Oryzias latipes: one gene and its partner. The protein of the gene in region 1 interacts with the protein of each later gene in a pairwise test. Links are inferred from orthologs where the notes say so. Each region holds a gene or a part of one and is shown in the gene's direction. Other genes may lie near its edges.

Evidence for each region.
Region 2: the proteins of ap3d1 (region 1) and vamp7 interact in a two-hybrid assay, tested with the Homo sapiens proteins (2 studies listed by BioGRID and IntAct). The link is inferred for Oryzias latipes from reciprocal best matches to the Homo sapiens genes AP3D1 and VAMP7.

Annotation. Positions count from the first base shown.
Region 1 is NC_019862.2:30,490,759-30,494,793, reverse strand, and holds part of ap3d1 (AP-3 complex subunit delta-1), read left to right. Parts: intron 1-167; coding exon 168-217; intron 218-433; coding exon 434-482; intron 483-1,919; coding exon 1,920-2,065; intron 2,066-2,230; coding exon 2,231-2,379; intron 2,380-2,453; coding exon 2,454-2,684; intron 2,685-4,035. UniProt on the Homo sapiens protein: Part of the AP-3 complex, an adaptor-related complex which is not clathrin-associated. The complex is associated with the Golgi region as well as more peripheral structures.
Region 2 is NC_019868.2:26,863,141-26,867,409, reverse strand, and holds the start of vamp7 (vesicle-associated membrane protein 7), read left to right. Parts: upstream 1-1,469; 5' UTR 1,470-1,689; intron 1,690-2,084; 5' UTR 2,085-2,119; coding exon 2,120-2,265; intron 2,266-2,372; coding exon 2,373-2,430; intron 2,431-2,555; coding exon 2,556-2,693; intron 2,694-4,269. Other genes in the region: DNA-directed RNA polymerases I and III subunit RPAC2, read right to left, coding at 968-1,006. UniProt on the Homo sapiens protein: Involved in the targeting and/or fusion of transport vesicles to their target membrane during transport of proteins from the early endosome to the lysosome. Required for heterotypic fusion of late endosomes with lysosomes and homotypic lysosomal fusion.

The DNA of each region.
Region 1 (4,035 bases):
TGTTAAAAATGTTATTTGTTTACTTGCTTTTTTAATCAAAGTTTTCATAAACATTTATTTAGTCAAAAATAGATATATTTTTTAGGCTATTTACGCTTGAAGCCTCTTTTTTTTTCTGTCCTAAAACATGATTTCTTGTTGAAACTGTGACGCTTTTTGTGTTGCAGTGTTGATTTCTTTGTCCTCCGGGATGCCCAACCACAGTGCTAGTATCCAGGTAGGTTCCCCACGTTCTCGGCCATCATCAGATCATAACCCTTCCACTCCAGTCACTTTCTGCCGATGACGCTCCTTTAAACATCTAAACACCACAGAGAACTTTTCACTATTTGGTTCAGCCGGTTTTGTCGAACAGAAGAGCCGCTGGTGTGGAAAGGTTGACGGGGATGTTAATGCCTCTGGTTTTGTCTTCTGCTCTGCTTTCCTCCCACAGCTCTGTGTGCAGAAGCTGCGAATCCTTATCGAAGACTCGGACCAGAACTGTGAGCCCTCTGTCAATGCCTGCAGTGTGTCATTTTCTCATTGTCTGCGTGTTTCTGTCTATGGAACAGTCCACCCCTTTAGACGACATGGAATTAGATCCCCTGACCCCGGATAACTCGAACATTACCTCTTTTCTTCACGTAATCAGGAGACCTGCTGGAAAGCCATCATACTTACAGAGCATCTGCAAACATCCCACAGCAGTATGCTGGAGAAAAGGAAGACCTTTCATTTTAATTTGACGTTTCAGCAGCTTCCCAAATGTCTTAATCCAATGTCAGGTCTGGCTCTAAAAGTCCCAAAGACTTTTCTGTTTTCAGTCATTCGAGTTATCTGGACCTCCATGGTAGATGTGTGTGGAGTAGACTGCAGACGTCTGGTGTTGGTAGAGCAGATTAGAGACTTGTAGTTTCAAGCTTAGTTTGACTTGTAATCCTGTTTTTTGAGCTTCTGTTAGACATTTTTCTGCCCGTTTAATGCAAACCCAGTTTTGTACGGGTCTCGATTTAGTAACTTCAACTGAAGCAGGAATCTCACTGAACCTGTGAACACTAGCCGACTGCCTGGTGAGCGTCTGGTCACTAATGGGCAGTTTATCCACGGGTTAGAGGGCGAGCAAGATCCAAACCAGTTTTCCGTCTTTTAGTAAATAGAAATGATCAGACTGTAACTGGAAAACATGCAAATTTCAGAAATCCTGAGCACAAATCGTTGACTTTGGAAAGAGATCCAGTTGATGTGAGGGCAGCATTCTGCTTTAGCTGCTAACAAAAAGAAGAAACGGACTCAACTTTCTAAGGGATCGACACCTGAAGTATACTACCTTACATTTCTCTAAAGAAGAAAAACAAATGGATGGAAGTGGGAAGAATATCTGTAAAATGCTTTTTGGTAAAGTCAGGAGTTTTCTTTCCAAATATCTTGCAGTAAACATCTTTGCTATTTTAAGCCTGAGAGATGGCGCCTCTTGGAGGTGATCATCAGCTGCTCCAGCAGACGACGGACAGAACTTTGTATTTTTAAGAATCCGTTTGAAAAGGGGATCCCCGGAAAAAACCCAAAGATCAGGAAAGATGAAACCCCCCTGTCCCGTGTGTGTTTGTGTGTGTTCACTCCTTTGTCTCGTGCGTTTTGTGTTTCTTCCTTTTTCCATTCCTCCTTTTTCACTTTTATGACTTTATTGTGAAAGTTTATTTGTATTACTTTGAAAACAAAGAACCAATGAGCTCTTTAGATGGAAAAAATATGCAGACATTTACAGCTGGAAGCGGTGAAAACGGATTTCTAACAGCAGATTCAAGTAACATCAGTCAGATTAGCGTTTATAGAAGTGGTTCAACTTTTAACAAAATACCGTGGGGAATAGTGATGAAGTTCAGACGACTACTCTTGTATTAAGTAGACTGAGGCCATATCTGTGTTGACCTTTGATGCAGTGAAGTATCTGGGTCTGCTGGCGATGTCAAAGATCCTGAAGACCCACCCCAAATCGGTCCAGTCCCATAAGGACCTCATCCTCCAGTGTCTGGATGACAAAGACGAGTCCATTCGCCTCAGAGCTCTGGACCTGCTTTACGGCATGGTAGGATCAGAAGATTCTTCTGCTGCAATTGTTTAAACAATCGTTTCTGGAAACCTGGTTGATCTTTTAGTTCTGAAGTTACACCAGAAAGGTTTTTTTCGTCTTAATAATTGCACCGTAAAGTTTTCACAAAGCAGCCTCTTTTGTTTTTGTCGCTCCGTCCAGGTGTCCAAGAAGAACCTGATGGAAATTGTAAAGAAGCTGATGCTGCATGTGGACAAAGCAGAGGGAACCACCTACAGAGACGAGCTTCTCACAAAGATCATCGACATCTGCAGCCAGAGCAACTATCAGTACATCACCAACTTTGAATGGTCCGCTGGATTCCTCCCCTTCCACCTCCTGCTCCGCCCCCTCTGAGTTCTGAACTGTGGCGTCTGCCTGACAGGTACATCAGCATCCTGGTGGAGCTGACCAGACTGGAGGGCACGCGCCACGGCCATCTCATCGCCTCTCAGATGCTGGACGTGGCCATTCGGGTCAAAGCCATCCGGGCCTTTGCTGTTGCCCAGATGGCGACTCTGCTGGACAACGCTCACCTGCTGACGGGAAACACGCAGCGAAACGGCATCTGTGAGGTTCTGTATGCGGCAGCCTGGATCTGTGGCGAGTTCTCTGAGTGAGTCCAATTCCAAAATGAAGATGCTCTGATCAGGAACTGATTCTGAAGCCATTGGGTTTTTGGTTTTGAGGTGAAAGGGAGGCAAAAGGTGAAGTTATTGTCACATTTCCAGTCTTGATCAGCTTTTGACGCTGGATGTAGACAGAACCGAGGAGGGTCAAAAGTTCTCAAAGGATTGTAAAGTAGAAAAACCTATCTTTGAAATTAAATTGATCTTTTTTTTTAAACTACAATATTGATTCATTTAATTTAATGAACCTTCAAATAAAAAACTAATGTAATTTTTAAGGGAATAAACACATTTGTTTGTTTTTAATGTAAGAATTCCTAATTTATTAATAAAAAAATCAATTTCTCAATCAATGATGCATAAAAACAAAAAACTGTCGATTTTTTGGTTTCTAAAATAAAAATTACAAGCACTCGGTAAATCATTTATCCATCAAACCAGAAATACAAATCTAGTTGCTTATGTTTACACTTTTTACTCACTTTAAACGTTCATTTAGTACAAGAGAATCAAGTGTAAACTGGGTCAATTACCGTAATTTCCGGACTATAAGCCGCTACTTTTTTCCTGCGCTTACAGCCTTGCGGCTTATTCAGTGACGCGGCTAATTTATGGATTTAATTAGCGGCCGCCATGTAACTCAGTGAATAGTTTGAATTCTCTATCTAACACCAAGCACGAGGCATTTTTATTCAACACACCTCTTAGCAGCCAAACAGCATGGACTTGACTTCAGGTCTTAGACACTTCAGTCATGGTTCAACAAAACGAAACACGCATGCCCGGCCGCATCCCAGAATCCTTTGGGGCCATTAGACCCAACGTGCACGTGATCGCCGCTACATTATGATGAAGCTTTCAAGTTAAAAGCAATCGTTAAAAGCAGCGTAAAAAAGTCCACCGTCACCAACGGGTTTGGAAAAGCCGGTTTGCTGCGTGACGGAGAGAACAGCGCATGGAGTGAATTTACACTCCATTTACGGTTTCTAAGGAAACCGTAAAAGCGGAATTTTGCTTTGAAAAACTCACAGCCTCCGTGTGAGCTGGAGACATCTTCTCTTGCTGATTGAGCTGCGGGGCCGATGGCAGTCTGAAGGCTCCCACACGTAACAACGCATCCACCCCTCATACACAAAACGTACAGTATTAAGTCCGATTGCTTTGCACAGAAACCATTTGCTCCATCCATCGGCTTAACGGGGACGAAGTGATCCTCCTTGAAGCCGCCCTGGCCAGAGGTGTCGGAGTAGATAGGAAGGGGAGACAAGGAGCGCAGAGGCGTCCGCGGAGTGCAGAGGCTTCTGAATTCTGACGCACGCGCCGCACTGAGGCGCGCGT
Region 2 (4,269 bases), on another chromosome or scaffold:
TGCTACAGGATGTCTTTTATTTTGAAAGGACGTCATGTGAACCTCTGTCAAAGGGTGTAAAATATTTTGTATTTAGAAAAAGAGGCTCATTTGTCCTTATGTTTTTTATTCATGCCCCGAAAAAATTCATTAGGGTTTAACACAACAGTAGAAATACCACAAATACACAAATCTGAGTCCTATTTTACTAAAAGGTGGAGTAGGACTTTGTGGCTCCTGTTGGGTTGTAGTCGGGATTTGTGGCTTTATTTTTGCTGGTGCTGTTCTTTTAGAGGTTTTTACCCTTGTTTTTGAGCTGTCGCTTATTATTATCATCCTTCTGTAGACCACTATAAGTGAATCTTGAAACATTTTAGTGGGTTTGTTGCTGAAAAAAATACAATTGAGAGCCATATTCCTCCTACAACAGTGTTTACATACATTAATTTGTACTCCATGAATATTGTTTCTCTGTTTTAGTGATCTTTGAGACTATGGACGTTTAACTTTTTTATTTTAATATAAATTACAAAAAACAAAAATCAGTTGTTTAGTAGGGACTTGTGGGACTATAATATATATATTTTTAACGTTTAAGTACATTTTAGTTCACAAATCTTAAGTAAACACTGCTTGTTTTAAAATACTGCCCCCTAGTGGGGATAAAAGACATCGCAGGATTTTGACCAAGTAAACAATGACATGTAGTAACACACTAAAATATAAGCTCAGTTTTATCAAATAAAACATGATTTTGGTTTCTTTTTAAGTAATATAAATTAACAAAAAATGTTTATATACGAGTAAAAGGGATTTTCTTATGAACAGACACTTCATCTTCCACGTGAAGTCTGCAGCCGGGCGGTGGAGAAAGCTAGCATTAGCTTCTTCGATGTGTTATTATATATTTCACCTACACAAACTTTAACCAATATACAGTTAAGTATCTAAATAACTGATCAAACAAAACGACATTTTCTTATTTTACCATTTCCAGTTTGGGTTTCTTCTCGCCATCCCCGGCCATGCTTTTCACGTCGCTCGCACTGCAAAGTATGAGCTTTGTGTTTCTTCCCCTTTATTTTTGACTTACAGGCTGAAAATGAAAGTGTCGCCATGCTGTTATTATTCATTAATAACTGAACCCGCTTGGTTGGACATTTATTCCGACTACAACCCTAAGAATAAATGTTTTATTTAGTCTGCCATAAAGAGATATGTCGATTTGAAGTGATGACACAAATAAATTTTGTTAAACATAGACATACAAAACATGCAATTAAGAAAAGATAAACGGATCGAACTTAAATTAGGTTGGTGATGAAGTACTACCTTTCACTGCGCTAAAAAGTAACATTCCTTAACATTTAATTTGCAAATGCATTCAATTTAGCGTGTAATCGTAGCCTTTAAGGCTAAACTGAGGGGAATTCCTAAACAGTTGCTCTTACGCATGAAAACATATGACGAAGACACATCGTCATTTGTAGTTTAGGGAAGTGTAGTTCAGAATGGTAGAAGAGCAGCATTCACTGTGAAAGAAATTGCAAAAAAGAACTACATTACCCAGCGTTGGTCAGTGTGTGCTTCCGGTCCAAAGGATCCGCAAAGCAGAAGTCACTCGAAAGGGATTAGCTAGCTTGCTAGCAGCTGACACATTATAAATGTGGGAAAATAATTAGCTCGTTTGAGTGGCGCTGACACGTTAAGGTATCGTTTTGTTTTGTTTTTTTGCAACAACGTTTAACTTACAAACAAAAACTTGAACTGACACTTTGATTAACATTTTGGTCTTTTCGTTGACGCCACCACTGTTCCGTGTTTATTTCAACATTACTTACTACGCTAGCTTGCTGCCGAATCAGTCTTTGTTTTTCCCAATGATTTATACCACAATAACACGCATAGGGATGTTGGGTGTAATCGTTTTTAGTATTTTTTTGTCTACAATACACAATTTTTTTCCTTTTCTTTCTAACTCATCTTAACGGAATTCCGGTGGGAGGGAGGGAAGGCGGGTGGGGGCATTTTTGTTTTACCTGAGCTCCACCTACCAAAAAACAACAACAACAAAAAGCTTATTCCTTTCCTTGTTTATTTGACAGAAAACTAACGTAGCGGAGAACCCAGCTGTGTTACCATGGCAATCCTGTTTGCTGTGGTGGCTCGTGGAACCACGATTTTGGCCAAACATGCTTGGTGCGGGGGCAACTTCCTGGAAGTCACAGAACAAATTTTAGCCAAAATCCCCTCAGAGAATAACAAACTGACCTACAGCCACGGCAGGTACGGTCCAGTTTGCTCCTTCATCTCAATAATTGTCATTATTTTGCCCACAATCAGGGCTAGTTTCTGGGAACGTGTAACTGATGGTGTTTCTATTTTGTTTTCAGTTACCTCTTTCATTACATCTGCCATGACAGAATCATATACTTGTGCATCACTGATGATGTGAGTATCTTTGGACTTTTTATTTTGTTTTGATGTTCAGCAATAGTTGGGAAGGATGTGACACTGGCACAAAGCTTTAAATACGTGTAGTTGCATTTATCGTGATTGAATGTTTTCTGTTAAAGGACTTTGAAAGATCTCGTGCATTTACCTTTCTTGGCGAAGTCAAGAAGCGCTTCCAGACGACGTATGGCTCCAGAGCTCAAACCGCCCTTCCCTACGCCATGAACAGTGAATTCTCCTCAACGCTGGCGGCTCAGATGGTGGGTTGAGCGTGACAGATTTCCTTAGAATGCCATATGACTTTTTTTAGAAGAAGAAAAAGACTTTTGCTTTAGTCATAACCAGAAAAGCAAACTTCTTCTATTTTTTTTCCTATTTCTTTTGGTTTTAGTTTCGTTTTTCCCCCAGAGTAGTTAAAAACGTCCTTTTTCTTTAAAAAAAACCCTTTTCATGTCAATTTCAGCTTTGTATAGTCAACATATTGACAAATGGGTTTCAACTTCCTTCTCTACAATCGTGGCATGTACAAAAAGATCAGCAGATGGTCACATGACCACTCTGGCATTTTAAGTACGTTTTAAAGTCAACCTTTGTCTGCTGCATTTGAATCTGTATCATTTGAATTATATCTGAACATTTTCCTGACCTGTGCAGCATAGAGATACAATTATCTGTCTTTATTAAGAATTTTCATGGAAGTGCTGTTTTAGGGATGTTTGGTATTTGAGGACAGACAAATATCTGAACCTCTAATGTATTATTAGCAAGGGTTTTCCAGTGTTAGTGTTAAAAAAAACATTGTCCTTTATTTTCCACCAAATATCGAAGTGATATGGTCGAAGGAGTAAAAAGTTTTTTTTTGTTTTTAAAGGAAAAATGAGTGCAGATTTTCAGTGTTCCTGTGGGGTGTAGGTACCATAACCATTCGGCCTGCAATAACCGTTCGGGGTCCTTCGAAGAGTGCTGACGTCACATTATGTGATTGGATGTCTGTTGGTCCGATCACGTGCAGTTTTTAAACTGTTGCAGTGAAATAGAAATGATGTTTTAGGTTGTTTTGCTCTTTGTTCATACACCACAAGTTATATCGTCATCGCAATATCAGATAGTGATTGGTCTGGATAAATTACGATACTAACATAGAAGAAGATATTATGCGGTCCGTTGTAAACATACAGAGCTCCGACACAGAGAAAGATTATCTTCTAAACGTGCTTTTGGTAATATTATGATTAGGCCTGCACAATATATCGCAAATTTATCGTTATCGCAATATCAAGCTGTGCAATATGCATATTGCAAAAGACGGCGAAGATCGCAATAAATGGTTACCTTAAGTATGCTAAAACAATCTGATGGCAGTATTTAACGAAGCAAAAATAATCCCTTTTATGTTTTTGACCAATCGGATGGAGCCCTTTTGTGTTAGATGTTCGTCTCCTATGTAGATGTTGGTCATTTGCAATGCAGTTTTTAAACTGTTGCAGTGAAATAGAAATGATGTTTTTGGTTGTTTTCCTACACCCCAAGTTACATCGTCACCGCAATATTAAGTTTTCCTCATGACATGTAGCCCTAAATATTATTATTATTAACTGCATTGCAGCTGAACAGACTGCGTTCTGAACTCTTCTCCGGACCGCACACTATAACAAAGCAGCTTCCCAGCCTGCGAACACGAAGCTACGAGACTCCAGCTGCTCTGCTCAGAGACACGGTTCACTCGTGTGGAGCAGCAGGTTCATTCTAACAGCCACAGATCTTTTTACAAAGTGGCTTGTGGCAAAATATCTCTGTAAATATTACAGAGAATAATCTCAGACACATCTTATGAGG